Linked DNA regions of Tribolium castaneum. The main gene of each other region encodes a partner of the protein of the gene in region 2 in a complex. Links are inferred from orthologs where the notes say so. Each region holds a gene or a part of one and is shown on either strand. Other genes may lie near its edges.

Region 1 (7,976 bases), on a different chromosome or scaffold from region 2:
CAATCTTATTTCACCATAATACTTTAATGAGACAAAAAAATGTTCCTAAAATGACATCGGGAATAAATCATCTGAGAAAAAAGTTAGGGTTACAGTGAAACCTCCCATAAGCGGACACCGACATGCTTTTTGTCCGCTTAATGGAAAAGAAATAGCAATTTATATATAAAAACAAACTAAAATAAAAGGCTTCGCTTTTCACAAACGTTACACTTCCATAAAACATGTACTACCTACTTATGTGATTCCCCGATTTTTTTGATCAATTGTCATAATAACTATTAATCACACGCGCGTATGATGTGCTGTCCGCTTAAAGGAGATATTTTGTTTCCAAGGATTTGAATTGCATTGTGCGCGTCCGTTTATTGGAGCGTCCGCTTAAAATACATTATCTAAAAAAAGGCCCGTTTGTCAGAGGGGTCCGCTTATCGGAGGTGTCCCTTAAGAGAGATATTACTTGTGTTGGTATTTGAATACATTCATCTTCATTTTATGATTATACGTTTGTAAGGGTGATAATTAATAATAATAATTTTATTTATAATATTAATAATAATTAATAATACTGATTATCAAATTAACAAATGGTATTAGTATTTTTATTGCTTTTGCAGATTTTCTTTAAAACTTGTTTCAATCAATTTAATTCAAGATGATACTTTTATGTCAATAATTTTTCAGTATTTAATTGTACAAAGGACTCAAAAAAATACAAATTTATCATAGTTATGCAACTAACAATACAACACTTTTTATACACGTACCTGCAACAAGGCCTCAAAATCCCTCAATTCGGACCTCCTGATGATTCTTTCGAGGTACATTTTTTCCAAAATCGCCACTGCTGGCAACTGTTGGCACCTCTCGTCCTTGAACAGTGTGGCCAACATGCGCGATCTTTGTTGCCCCGCTGAAGCCAAAACAGTGCAAACTAAAGCATTCCGAAGGGCTGTCATGCGTTCATCTTCATGAACAATCGTCCTATAGGACAATTCATTGTATCTCTGAGCCGCCTCAATAAACTTCCGCCGATAATCCAAAACTCGAGCATAACAAACTTTGTAATAAATTTGAAGCTGCTCATTCCGTGACTCGGCCTGAAGCAGCGACGCCCGGTTGATGAAAGCCTCAGCCTGGACCGGATCGTCATCCTCAAGATACAACCTCGCGATTTTCAAATACGTTTCAAGTTTGTAATCCACGGTGTATTGTTTCTGGCCGGTTTCGAGCGGGATTCCCACCAGGACAGCTGCAGCCTCGCGCCACATGTGGTTACGTTCGTAGATATCGGCCAAATGTTGGCGAATACTTGCCACCTGCTCCTCAAACGAAATAACCCGGGGTTGCACCTTCTCAAGCATAAAGTGTGAGACAGTTTTGGAAACATCGTCGGGTAGTTTCATCAAATGCGAGCTTATTTCGGTCAGGATTTGGCGCGAGATGACCAAACTAACGTTCTCATTGACAACTGAAACGACTTGAGTTAGACTGGGTTGGTGGCTGTGGGGGGTACGGACTTGCTTCGATGAATATCTGCAAGCCTTCGGTCAGCTCGGGGCCCGAACCGGCGAGGATGTTCTCAAGAATACCGCGATATCTGTTAAAAATTAATGTTTTTTTTAATTTTTTTTACATAACCTCACTTTTCGGCCTGGTCTTTGTGGGAGCCCCCGGACGCGATTATGTTGGAGAGTTGGGTGCGGATAGCCGCGCTTTTCTCCGACATGGTGCTCCGCTACTATTTTGGCCACAAATAATAATAAATTATTTTAATTTAACTAAAAGTAGTTTTTGACAAATGACTGACAAAACAGCAATTGCCAACACAACGCTATTGCCGGTTGTGGTAATTTTGTCTAAAAAACACACTTGCAAGTAAATTGTTGTCTTTGCTCTGTAAATAAATACTTGCGACCAATTGCAAGTACAGTTTACTTTAATTAACGTGTGAATAAGGGGTTAAGGGGAAGACGATTTGATTTAATAGGTTGGCTGCACGTGTTGAAGTCAAACTCAAACGTCACGGATGTTTGCTGTCACCCGCCTTTAAATTAGTCACTTAATTAAATTGCAATAAACAGAAATAGTCCAGTGTGAGTGCGAAAAATGCCTTCTCCGCAACAAAACGAGAGTTCCCCCGAGCCCGGTAAGAGAATTCGTTACTTTCGTCGAAAGTCCATGCTCATTGTTAGCCCCAGAGACGTCCACTTCGAACGACAATAAGGAAAAAGGGGCCACTGTCAACGAAATAATGGTAATAGACCCGGACACCCTTGAGCTGGACCTAAACCATGGCAGGATCAGCAAGCTCGAAAACCTTGAGCCCTTGACACAAATCGAGCGCCTCTTCCTGAGGTGGAATTTGATCACCAAAATTGAGAATTTGGACACGTTAGTCACGCTCCGCGAATTGGAATTGTACGATAACCAAATCGTCAAAATGGAAAATCTGGGATGTTTGGTTAATTTAGAGTAAGGAGTGACTCATTTGTGAATGTTGCGAAATATGGCTTTAAAAGGATTCTAGATTTGTCGTTTAATCGTATCAAGGAGATTGAGGGACTGGAGAATTTGCACAATTTAGAAAAACTCTTCCTGTCGTCGAACAAAATCAGCAAAATCAAAAATGTGAAGCACTTGCAGAAGCTGACAATGCTGGAGCTGGGGGACAACAAAATTAGGGTAAGTGTTTATCCTATGGAGGATAATAACTTAGGAGACGAAACTGCGCCGTATTCCCAGCGTTTTGATAAATGTTATCGCTTAGAATTATCAATTTGCGTTCCACCTTATATTTCTGCGAGCTCTGCGAATACAGTTGAAGATACAAAAAAAGTGTAAGGAACAAAGTTGTAGAGAATAAAATTTTCTACAAAAAAGTCCGCGACACCATATTTCTATCTTTAATAGTTTAGGTACGAATTAACTTTCCAATACTTGACCACCGGCAAAATTAAGGAAATCCGTTGCTTGAGCGTCTTTGAACGACTTTGGGGCCTAAATGGTTCAAGATAGGAACATGGTCTCGCGGACTTTTTTGTAGGAAATTTAATTCTCTACAATTTTCTTCCTAACATTTTTCTTGTATCTGTAACCGTATTCGCAGCGTTTTGAAAAATATCTGACAGAGTGCAAAATTGGTAAAAGTTTACGATAAAATTTTTGCACTGTGTTTATCTCTGAATATTGAGAATTTAATGCTATATCTGCCTGTTTTTTTTTGTTTGCTATGTGTGAACAGTAATAAAAATACAACCATGTTTTGAAATGCGCCCTCTGGCGACATTAACGGAGCTATCGAGGACGAGAACGTTTTATTTGTACGTCGTTTCATATTCTAACCTTTAGATCTTCGTAGTTTATCCTTTGAGTGTTTTCAGTTGTTAGTCATAATCTGTGACTTCTAAAACCGTCCTAATTGCAGGACATAGAGAACCTGGAAAACATGCCAGCCCTGACCCACCTCTACTTGGGCAAAAATAAAATATCAAAAATAAAAAACTTGGACAGTCTGACCAACGTGACGTGTCTGAGCCTGCAAAGCAACCGAATAACGCGTATCGAGAATTTGGATAAGCTCACACAATTGACCGAACTGTACATTTCCGAGAACGGAATTCATAAAATAGAAAATCTTACGCATAACACGTTGCTACAGACCTTGGATTTGGCGAAAAATAAAATAAAGTTGATTGAAAACATCGAGCATTTGAACGACTTGGAGGAGTTTTGGATGAATGATAATGAAGTTTCCGATTGGGGAACTGTCGAGAATTTATCGAAGAACAAAAAGCTGGCTACAGTTTACTTGGAGCGGAATCCGCTCGAGAAGGACCCGATGTACAGGAGGAAATTGAAGATGATCGCGCCCTCTCTAACCCAGATCGACGCGACTTTGTGTCAGTTGTAAAATATTGTTTTGTAAATTAAGGAAACCACCGTTGCCATCTGTGCATTTATGAGTTGATTAGCTAATGAGTAACGATTAATTTTAGGCGTCTAATTATAAACCAATCACCCAATTGTGAAAATCGGTTTTAATTTTGATAAGCCCCTGCTACGTAAAAATAAACCAAATAACAATAAACCCGTCGTGTTATTTCCGTTTGAAATTGAAAGGTTAGCAAATTTGCTGGCACCTGTTTTGTTCTCCAGTAGTTTTAAAAATAGCCAAGCTGGATAAATTCTGGGTTTGTGGGCCAGTTCCTGCGATTTTTCCCATCCAAGCTGACGCGTCACAATGAGCGAGCAGTTCGTCCTGCGATGGCACTACCAAGAGCTCACCCTCCTCAAAAACCTCACCACGTTCCTCGAAAACGACGTTCTCACCGATGTCACCATCTCGGTCGAATCCCACACCGTTAAGGCGCACAAACTGGTGTTAGCAATGTGCAGTGTGTACTTTTTCCAGCTGTTCCAGGTGAGTTTTCGCGAAATCACCGTCTATTTTTAAACGACATTACGCCCACTTGTAGGAAATGAGGGACACGCAGCATCCGGTCATTGTGCTGCATAACGTCGCCCTGAGCGACATTAAGGCCGTCCTGGCGTTCATATACAGGGGGCAGTGCGTGGTCTCCAAGGAGCAGCTGCCAGGGCTGCTCTCCCTGGCCAAGCTCCTCAAAATACAAGGACTATGTGATATGAAGGTTAGTCCCCAAAGCCCTAATTACTTATTGGCACCGTGGCCCGTTATGTAACCAAACGTAAACCTAGATTTTGTTAGGTACCTGAAAAACCCCAACTAAACGACATTTCAAGCGAAAAAAGACCAAACTCAACCGACAATGCGCACAAAACCGAAAGTTCGGAAAAAGCAACCGAACGTAAGCTCGAACGGCTTGTTGGTGTCCCCTCTTAATTTTCTTACAGATTTTGCGGAAACTTTCCTGAAAAACAACGACGAAGAAGACGACAGTTACTCGCTTCCGAGTAAAAAACATGCGAAAGACTTGTCTGAAACTTGCAAGTGCTTCCTTTGTGGCAAATACCTCAGTAATCAGTACAATTTGCGCGTGCACATGGAGACCCACGAAGAGGCTTACCATGCCTGCCAGTCTTGCCCCCACGTGTCACGAAGTCGGGACGCTTTGAGAAAACACGTCTCGTACCGACACCCAGAGGAGTACCACACCAGGAAGCGCAAAAAAATAACTTGAACTTTATCAGACAGCTATTTATTCAATATAAACAAAAATAATACTTTTTAGATTATAGTATTTGGATGATTTAGCAGATTTTTCATTCATCATAACACTCCTCGATTTAAATATTTACACTATTAGAAAATCAATACTTGAAATAAATTAATTGACACGTCGGTTAGGCCCGCCACTGCATCACCCTACTGTATGTAATAAATAAAAAAGCTTTACGTTAAATGCAAAAAGGCCATTTAAAAAAATTATTAGAACTTGGTGATGGTCCACAATTTCGTGTTGCAATCCTGCCCCACTGAGACCAAAGTCTGGTCGTCAAGCCAGGCTAATCTAGTGACTTGACTTTGAGCATGAGCGTCTGAAAACAACCCTTATTTTCCGCCCTTACTTAACACAAACTACTCACTTTTGATTATAATATGTTTGGCGGGCTTTTCAACAGACCAGATAATGATACTCGTGTCCAAACTACCACTAGCGACTAGCAAAGAGTCGGGCGACCAAGCAACGCTGTTAACACGCGCGTTGTGGAAACCCCATTCTTGATTGGTGGCGAGCTAATAACGATTATTGTAATCAAAAACGCGAAAAATGTGTAAAAAGCAAACAATTAAAATTTGGTTATTACTTACATTCTGTTCCGAATGCGTGCAACAATTAATTTCATCAATGGTAACTACAGACGCACAAAAACTTACCTTGTATTCAGGAACACTATACAGTACGACTTTTCTGTGGGCATCACAGGCCACTAGATACTTGTCATCGGGAGAGTAGGCAACGTCTGTTACGGCACCCAAATGGTCCAATTCTTGCAAGGGTACCAACTCTGTGCCTTTCAGTTCGTATAAATGCACCTTGTTGTCCATGGCACCACCCACAGCCACGTGACCCCGCGGCGAAACGCTGACACTTGACGGTTCATAAGACACCTTCAATTGTTTTCGTCAATAAGATAAAACAAATGCTTTCAAAAAAAGAAAATCAGCAAAGAGCGACTCGTCAAAACTTTCATACAGGGTGGCTCACCTAACACTTTCGAGCTTTTCAATTAGGAGCTAAAAAATTAAGTTAAAAAATTCTTTTATTTAAAATTAAGCCCAATTTCTATTATCAGATGATTAAATCTTGAAAAATAGGTGGCCACACAAAAAAAATATTTTTTAGTACAAGTTTAAATGATTTAACATTTTAAGAAGGCTTGTAAAAATGACGTTTTTAAGAATTGAGTTGGATTATATCTAATCTTTACCTTCTAAAATATCTGATTTTTAAATTTCATAAGAATCCGTTGACAAATAACTGAAATATCGGGCTTGAAAGTCTTAGGTGAGACATCCTATTGTAAATTTGATAAACTGAAAATTTTAACAGTTATTATTTGTATAAATGACAGTTCGCTGTTTAACTAATTATGAAACTTGTCACTTTACTGAATTTCTCATTGATCTCTGACTGAAATGAAGTTGGAAATATTGAATTGTTGGTGTTGGGGACATTTGATAGTCAAGTTTGCCAACTTAATTTTAAAGCCATAGACCACTGCTCGAAATTGACTGTTTCAAACCTTCAAAGTGCTTGCTTTCCTGTTATCTTGCGAGACGGTGATTTCGTTAACACTCGCTGTGACCACCACATTTTGCTCTTTTAAAATGTCCATTCCGCGAGGTTGCGACCCCAACTTCAAATCTTGCCCTTTGTACGTGTTGCCCTCAATGTCGATTTGTTTTAAAGAGTCATCAATACCACAAGTGTACAAAGTACCACCATGTACCCTCATCCCATTGATCTGGTTACCATGACCCACGCCCTCAACCCGATCGTTCTCCCCAGTTTCGGCGTTCCATCGAGTCACATTACCATCATGCGACCCGGTAAAGATCGTACCACGATCTTCGCTCAATTCTAAGACAGTGATGGGTTTATTGTGCCCTTTAACAACCCGGAGCGGCTTCGTTGGGTCATTAATATCCAAATAATTAATAAAACCACTCAAAGAAACCGTGAGCAAGTATTCGTTTTGCCATAAACACGAAACCTATAAAATATTATATACTTAAAAGAGGACGTTAGTGGGCGTGGCTTAACCCACTTGTTGATCTTCAACTGTCGAACCTAGGACGAATTCAGAGACGACTTGTCTCGTTTCCACGTCCCACAATTTCGCAGTTTTGTCCCCACTGGCTGTTAGCAATTGTTTACCGTCGGGACTCCAACTAACCCCATACACGCCCCCGCTGTGGGCGGGGCTTCCCACTTCCCCCACCAAATCGGAGGACGTACCATCGTACAGAAACACCTTACCATCGAACCCAGCCGAGGCAAATAAATTACCGGTGGGTGAATAACGAACGGCTTGCACAAACCTGCTGTGCTCCTGTAAAAAACAATCACGTGACGTTGACCAAAATCATAGCCACCTATGGTTACTTTATGAACAGGTATTTCCCCCCAAATTAGTTTTCGTCAAGGACATTTCGATTATCACGCAATAAAAAAAAAGGTAAATTGGGTCAAAAAAATGTGAAATTGCGTTAAAAGTGGTGTTGGTTTGTCAGTTCAAAGCTAGTGTATTTAATTTTGTGGGTTGGCGACACGAGTCGTGGCCTCCTTACCTGCTTGGTCATTTTGAACTTAAACGGGGGCCCCTCGAAAACCGCAATGGTGTTGTCTTCAGACCCCGTGATGATTCTGAAAGGTCTCGTGGGTTTGAAATCGCAGGAATTGATGGGTTTTGATTGGCCTGAGATTTCGCCAACGGAAGTTCCCGTTTCGGACATGAAAACATGACCGAAGCGTTCGCGGCCTTCGCCA
Region 2 (7,914 bases):
TACGCAAAGTGTTATAGACTTGCAAGAAAAATTTTTGTGTTACCAAAATTTTAATTATTTATTATTAAGTAGATTTACACAAGACGCCCTCGAAAATTTATTTTCAACCATTAGGTCCCGCAACCCGGTTCCTAATGCGAAGAAGTTTAAAACCGCACTTAGATTGGTTTCGGTTTCTCAATATTTGGCTCATACAAAATATGGAAATTATAATGCATCTGACGAAATTCCTTTAGTCGACATTTTAAATGATCAAACACATAATGACAATGATAATGATAATGATTTTGAAACCATTACTTCTGACAGCCAGTTTAGCAATGTTGTTACCCAAAATTTAAATTGTGAAGAGCAACATGCATTATATTATTTATTAGGTTCAATTATTAAAAAAATTAAAGTAAATTACATTTATTGTGAAAGATGTTTTGGTTTCATAACAGTTACTAACAGTGCCGAAATACAAAATTTAAACACGTTGGTCAACTTGAAATCTTATAAGGAAGGATTACTAATTTATCCTTCAAGAGAAATTTATTTTGTAATTTTGGACGCCGAAATATTTTTTAGGCAAAATGTTAGGCAGTTAATAGCAGGTTCCATAAAATTAGAAAATTTGATGTCACAATTCCTTAATTTGAAAAATTACAACGTTCCAAATTGTCGTTTTATTTTAAAACGTGTTATTAGTTTATTTTTTAAATCCAGAATTTACATTTGCCTAAAAAATGAGTACACTATTGAGAAACCCGCAACTTCTCTCAAATGTTCAAGCAAAAGTGTCGGTATGAGAGTTGCTGTATTAAACTTTTCTTAATGAAAACCGTCTTTTATTTCAAAATATACATTTTGGACAATCTAAATGGTTCTTCTGTAGAATGCACAACTGTATTGCATACTGCTTTTGATATCGATTTAATTATTATTTACGTGATTTAAGTACCGGTTTGAAGATTTCGGGCTATCAATGCATGTAAAAAGTATCAAGTCGAGTGAATCCACAGATGATCAATGCTCTCACTGTGTTGATTTTCTAATTTCGCAAAGGTGAAGAAATCTTGACAGTTTTGACGGACTTCAAAAGTATAATTTTAAATTCGATAGTAGCGCCTTCTCTAGAGTGTATAATCGTTATTGTTGCCCTGTCAAGGTCCGTGTCGCTACTTTAGTATATCTACTGGCTTTGGTATTTACAACTCTAATAAAGACGGGTTATTATTAAGTTTGTGTCACCTTTATTTAAACTTTTATAAATCAGCAGTAAATCTCGAAAAAAAAATTATAATAAATTTTAAGCTCTTTGTTTTTATTTTTGAAATCATTACCAGTCAAAAAACCTGGTACACAGCCATATTTTCAAGATGGAGGCACTTCTGGATATATTTTTTATTTTAAGCAGTAAGCCATGTGTTTTGAAAACTTCCTTTTATAACTCGAGTAATTCACAATATAGCCGGGAAAGCCGCCATCTTGATTAAAACATAACGGGTTACAGCTGCATTCAAATTCTCAAAAGAATATCGTTATTAGATCTCCCAATATTTTAGATGTAAGGTTTAAAAAAAAACAGTAAGGTAAGAAAAAATTTTTTATTAACCACAAATACAAATTTACAAGAAAATCAGCAATTAAACATTATTTGTGTACCAACTGGCGGTGTGATCCCAACTTGGAAGACATCACTAACGAAGAAGTTTTAATCCTAGAAAATACAATGTTCCATTTTAACTTCCACAAAAACATTACACACGTTTCAAAATTAAAAAAAAACGAACCCAAACTCATTATTATTACAAAGGATTTTGGATGGGTTATCTATATTAAACTGCTAGAATTTCACAGAGATTTTATTTTGTACCAAAGGTACAAACAATAATTAAATAACACTTACGATCTCATTAAAATTGTTACATGTTAATATATTAGAAAAAAATTATTAAGATTTAAGCCAAAACTTACTGCTATGCCTTATACCTTTGATTTTAGTTGACTTTTTTCCTTTTTCGCTAATTGCTGCAGCTTCCCTGTTATCAGTAGCCATAGCCTCGTCAGTTCCATCAGAGCGTTCTTGTAATTGAGTTTTCAGAGTCTTTTTAATGTTACTAATCTACAAAAAAAATGCATATCTAAAACAAAGTAATGATACAAACTCGAAAAAAATACCTCTTGCTCCACTTCAGCTTTTCTCAACATTGATTTATTTTTTTCATTATTTGCTCTATGTATTTGTGTTTCAACACAAGCCAAAACACCTTCACAGGCCGAACACCAGTCTTGGAGACAATTCACAATTACATTAATGTCTTCAGGACGAATATCACGACCTATGGCATAATCAACCTCCAATTGACTATTTTTCTGGTCCAATTTTCCATGAATAATGTCAGCGTAAATCGCCTCAATTATTAAGTCCTCCAAATCACGAACATTTGTTATGCCTAGCTCTTCCAGAAGGGTGTTGTACGGAATACACTAAAAAAACATTGTTTTTATTATTACTTGCTCTAAGAAAAATCAATCAAATTTTGTTAAATTAGTAGATAGGCTGATTCTTTTAGAGCCTACATTAGAAACTTTAACTTCTAACATAGCTAGAGGTATGATTTGTTGAAAATGATGATTAAAAAATGATTATAAAACAGTTTTTCAAATGGAATTACCCAGTTTTTTAAATAGCAATCAAAAGAACATCAATTTTTATGCATACTTTTAATAACATCTTCTATATATCTATTTCTTACAGTATTTGAAATAATCGCAAAAAACAGAATTTTAGCTCATTATTTTCATTTTTAATCAAGTAAACTTTTGAAAAATACGATAAAATTGTACTGTTAACAAAAAGAAATGTCCTATTTATTTACCATTTTCATTCAAGAAGTTCAAGGATCAATGGCAAACTGACTGAGTTACTTTACATAATTCACTAACTTATAATAAACTATAATTAAATGTGATTATTTTACTGATTATTCGATAATGAAACAGCTAAAAACTAAATAAAAAATTGAAGTTTGATAATTGTTGACCATTTTGCAAGGTATACTTGATTAACTATGAAAACTACCAAGTAAAATCCGTTTTTTGTGATTTTTTTCAAAAACTGTAAGAGATTGGTATAGGACGTATTGATAAAAGTCACCATAAATATCGATATTCTTTCCATTGCCGTTAAGAAAATAGAGTCGTTCTATTAAAAAAAAGTTGTAGAGAAAAATGCAATGCAACTTTTTTACAAAGTTAAAAAATAGTACAATTTTGAACTGAATAGTTTTTGTGCAAAAATGCTTGAAAATGACGTAAATTTGTCGATAGTTTAATTATTTTTGACAAAAAATAAAAAAAAATTGCAGACTTTTTAGAAGATTTATTATAAAGTACGGTAAAAATTTCTAGTTTTTGGATCAAAAAGAAGCTTAAAATGTTTTTAATTTTTTTGTTTTCACTTTCAAAAAAATCACTCGTATTAGATACTGATAAATTCATTGTAGTAACAAAAACCGAGCAGAAAAGTTTGATTATCGCTAGGCAAAAATGGTTAAAAAATCTTTTTTTAATTTTTTTATATTTGTTTTTTTTGTTAACTTGAACATGTAACATGGTACAAATTTATGTCCCTTTTATGAATTTTAGGAATATACTCGATTATCTTTAGATTGTTATAGTAGTCAAAACAATGTACTGGGTGGCCGTTTTTTCAGCTCCACCATGGGAATCTCAGTTATTATACGAGATACGAGGTGGTTAAAATTTGGGTTTTAATTTTTTTCGAGTGAAAACCAAAAGAACTAGACGTTTTTAACTAGAACGTTCTTTAGGTACATTTTTACAAGAAATCTAAATCTGTCGTCCCATTTTCCAAGGCGTTCTTGATGTCAGTGTTACAACACTAAATTTTGTTTTTTCTTATGGAAGCCATATTTGCTTTTTGTATTTTTGAAGTGTTTTCATTTCCGATTACATCTATGTATCACATGATATAATCGAATCTTAAATGCTCATCAAAATGGAGAAAAAAGCATTTTTACAAAGAGTGCTTTGGAAAGAACGCCAACAATTTTTTTGTTTTTAAACAAACTAGATTAAACAAAATCATTAAGAGCTGATGACATTTTTATGCCGAAACATTCGCAAATTGCAATAACTTGTATTTTTTTTAATAAAAAATGATAGCCAAAAGCTGCATTAACATGCTTTTTTTGGATACCATGTGCTAACTGCTATTAAAACCATTGATAAATTTTAATACAATAATGTGCTCCGCCATCTACACAACACTATCGAAACTATCGAGAACGAGGACTTTTTATTTGTAGGTCGTGTCGTTTCCTAATCTATAGTTATCCATATTAAAAACTTAATTTCACTAAAGTGGAATTACTTTAACTACCTTTGATTTGGTGGCCAACGTAACAATGGTTAAATGTTGAAGCTTTTTCTTCTGAGCTGGGCTTAATTCAATTAAATCCTTCTTATTTGCTAGATAATCCTTGTAGGTTCCGTAAGCAAACAAGTTGAGAGTGTTGTAGAAATTTTTCTGTGGTGTATTACTCAACTACAAAACACTTAGTTAATGTATAAATGTAAAAATATGTTTGATTACCTCTTCAATGTTTTGCATGTGAAGTAATTCACCAAAAACGTAAACACCGGGGGCTTCCAACACTTGCTTGATCAGTTCGGAACAAGCAGCCCCTTTTGTTGACTTTGACAATAAAACAAATTGTTCCAAGGCATTGCCAGGGAAAGGATTTTTTTCAATAACCATTTTTTTAGTTTTTATTAGTTAATTTGTTGTTTTTGAAGCACTTTTTAAACACAACAACCGATCAGCTGTCACACGCTGCTGTCAAATGTCAAAGAAACATAATTGCGCCTGCGCAGCTTTTGACATAAAGCGGTAAATTTAAATTTGTTTAAAATTTAACAACATTGATTAAAGAAAGTAAGAAATAGTAGAAAATAGATACAATAGTTTTAATTATATAATATTTTTAACCCGGCTATATTTATGTTTGTGTTTGCTGCAATCCGTTGCTAATTACATTGTAAAATTTGTTTGATCAATACTTAAATTACAAACAAAACAAACGTAACTTCGTCTTCGGCTACAATGTTTCGAAATGAGGTAATAAAATATTTATACTTTAGTTTATTTATACTTTGTATTATTAGTTACAAGATGATGGAGATTTGCGGACTGAAATTTTTCATCTGAAGAAAAATTTATCCAACATTAGCACCGAAAATCGTATGCTAAAGGTGAAAATACGCAAATTGCAGAATGAAATTATTAAAAAGGATAAACAAATTGATGCTATATTGGATCCAAAAAAGGTAAAAAACTCTATTAAAAGTTTCAAGTTTTTAAACAATTTTAGTGTTTCGCTTTCTTTCGGAGAATTTGTTCTTTTATTTCTTTTAAGTTTTTCACAAAACATCATTGACACTATTTGTTTGTAATTTTATCCTTATATGACAATAAATAAATGATTTTCTTAGTAATTGAAGGTAAAACAATTAAATTTAGCTGTTATTATTAGGTTTATGTATAAAAAGTTTTGCTAAAATTACAACAAATTGGCGTCTATAAAACTTGTACAAATTTATTCAAATAAGTATAGTCAAATAAGGCAACAAATAAATCATACCGATAAATTAAATAGTAAATAAAAACCGAGCTTTAAAATTTAACCATCCTTAGGTAAGAAATGTCAAAGATTCCTTATTTTTATTTTTTTAATTCTCGGAGCCAAAAAAAACAGTTATATTAAATATACTAATAAATTAATTGAAGTAACAAAAGCCCAGCTTAAAAATTGTAAAAAATTCCACATAATTATTTTTTACTTTTGTTTTAATTTTGCTGTCTTACAGATAACTAATTGTGGTTATAAAAAACGAACGTTAAAATTATTTTTTTTTGGCAATAATTGTTAAAAATTCTTATTTAATTTTTTATTTTGATTTTCTTTTTAATTTTCGGTATCTAAAAAAGACGATCAATTGGAACAAAAACTAAGCTTAAAAAAGTATAATTATATAAGATATAAAAACTGTTAAGAATTCTTTATTTTTATTCTTTCTTTTTTATTTTTAGGATCAAAAAAGATAAGTCTTACTAATAAATTAATTGTAGTAATAAAATCACACTTAAAAATTTTATTGTCTTAAGGAAAGAAGTTTTAAAAATTTCTATTTTTATTTTACTTATTTTTTTTTCGTCAAAAAAATCTATTTTACTGATAAATTCATTGTAGTAACAAAAATACAATCGGAAAAATTTTATCATTTTCAGGCAACAATTGTTAAAAAAAAACATATTCATATGTATATGTATTTTTTTATTTTTGTTAAAAAAACAGTCTAACTCAAAAAGTAATTAGAGCAAAACCGAGCATAATAGTTTGATTGTCTTTGAACAAAAATTCCTTATTCTTATTTTTTATTTTTCTTTCTTTTTTAATTTTCAGTGTCAAAGAATAATCGATCTAACTCATAAATCAAAAGTATGATTATTATCTTTGAACAAAAAATGTTAAATAATTCTTTAATTTTATATTTCATTGTATTTTCTTTTTAATTTTTGGTGCCAAAAAAACAATCTTACTGATCATACCGAGCTTTAAAATCTCATTTACTTTCTTAAGATTTGTTAAAAAGTCCTTATTTTTATTTTGTTAAATTTCCAGTGTTAAACAAAAACAATCTGATTTATAAATTAATTTGGATAAAAAAACAGTTAAAAACTTGACTATCTTATACAAAAAATGATAAAAATCTTGTATTTAATTTTTATTTTCATTTTCAAATAAATTCATCTTATTGATAAATCACCTGATTGTAACAAAAAATGTTTGTCTTATCAAAATCTTTTTTTTAACTTTTATAACACTTTTTAATAAGAAATTACTCCAACAGTTAATAAAAAAACTCTGTTTTAACGTTATTTTTAGGTAAAAGTTGTTTATTTTATTTTATTTTGTGTAAAATTTTTGGTGTCATTTATCTTACTATTAAATTAATTGCAGCATAGACGTTTGATTTTGTTATTATCTATCGAATTTAAAAAAAAAACATTTTTTTTTATTGTAGCCCATAGAAGTCTCTAAAATTCTGTACGAACGGAGCGCCTCCTTTGTCTTAAATATGAAAGAAAAAAATGACGAACTTTTACAAATACTTCATGAAAAAGACATCATCATACGACGTTTGCAAAATCAACTTGGTGCAGCCAAATTATATTCCCAACCTCTCCAAAAACAATTCCAGAATAAATATTCGGATGATTTAAACTGGGACAATGAAATTGGACAAATTCAAATTAAAGTCCCTACTTTGAAAAATGTTAAACATACAATATTTAATGATGAAATAAAGAAAAAAACAAACAGGAGCTTATCATGGACTTGTGAAGCTGAATCTTCAGTCGAATTTAATAAAAAACATCAAAATGAAAGAAGTAAAAGTGGAGGAAAAGGTAAGTAAACATTTAAATCAATTGTTACCACTTATAGTCGTGTTTTAGATCAATACAAAAATTTTCTTTCAACAATTAAAGATTCAAATTCTCGACAAACAAGTTCTCGGAAATCAAGTCCGGAAAGTGATCTTGAACGAATTGAACTTCTTTGTGAAAGTCCACATGAAGAAATTCAACAACTGCATTCATATTTTCTCGACATTATTGCAGAACTAGGTCACTTAAAAAATACAGTGACTGAATTACAAATTGATAAAAATAAAACTGACTCTGCGATAAAAAAAGAAAAGTAAGTTTTACCCAATTTTTTATTATTTATGACAAGTATGATGTTAATATTTTTCTAGTTTTACAATCGATATGTTAGCCAAAGAACTAAAAAACTTGAGACTCAATAAACCAAAACCAAACAGAAATTATAGTAGAAGATT

Evidence for each region.
Region 1: CSN7 (region 2) and CSN4 share a complex: the UniProt entries of both Drosophila melanogaster proteins name them as parts of the CSN complex. The link is inferred for Tribolium castaneum from reciprocal best matches to the Drosophila melanogaster genes CSN7 and CSN4.

Annotation. Positions count from the first base shown.
Region 1 is NC_087399.1:5,885,404-5,893,379, reverse strand, and holds the start of CSN4 (COP9 signalosome complex subunit 4), read right to left. Parts: upstream 4,244-7,976; 5' UTR 4,226-4,243; coding exon 4,143-4,225; intron 4,091-4,142; exon of another isoform or gene 3,914-4,090; coding exon of another isoform or gene 3,428-3,913; intron 2,686-3,427; coding exon of another isoform or gene 2,523-2,685; intron 2,476-2,522; coding exon of another isoform or gene 2,202-2,475; intron 2,150-2,201; coding exon of another isoform or gene 2,110-2,149; exon of another isoform or gene 1,995-2,109; intron 1,870-1,994; exon of another isoform or gene 1,730-1,869; coding exon of another isoform or gene 1,647-1,729; intron 1,601-1,646; coding exon 1,521-1,600; intron 1,472-1,520; coding exon 768-1,471; intron 1-767. Other genes in the region: sds22 (protein phosphatase 1 regulatory subunit 7), read left to right, coding at 2,110-2,149, 2,202-2,475, 2,523-2,685, 3,428-3,913; longitudinals lacking protein, isoforms H/M/V, read left to right, coding at 4,244-4,423, 4,479-4,652, 4,730-4,829, 4,876-5,162; flr (actin-interacting protein 1), read right to left, coding at 5,411-5,520, 5,569-5,719, 5,861-6,094, 6,730-7,200, 7,255-7,539, 7,778-7,976. UniProt on the Drosophila melanogaster protein: Component of the COP9 signalosome complex (CSN), a complex involved in various cellular and developmental processes.
Region 2 is NC_087395.1:495,982-503,895, reverse strand, and holds CSN7 (COP9 signalosome complex subunit 7b), read right to left. Parts: upstream 4,866-7,914; 5' UTR 4,769-4,865; coding exon 4,604-4,768; intron 4,556-4,603; coding exon 4,391-4,555; intron 2,473-4,390; coding exon 2,164-2,472; intron 2,108-2,163; coding exon 1,937-2,107; 3' UTR 1,830-1,936; downstream 1-1,829. Other genes in the region: IQ domain-containing protein E-like, read left to right, coding at 5,114-5,128, 5,176-5,337, 7,096-7,480, 7,529-7,772, 7,831-7,914. UniProt on the Drosophila melanogaster protein: Component of the COP9 signalosome complex (CSN), a complex involved in various cellular and developmental processes.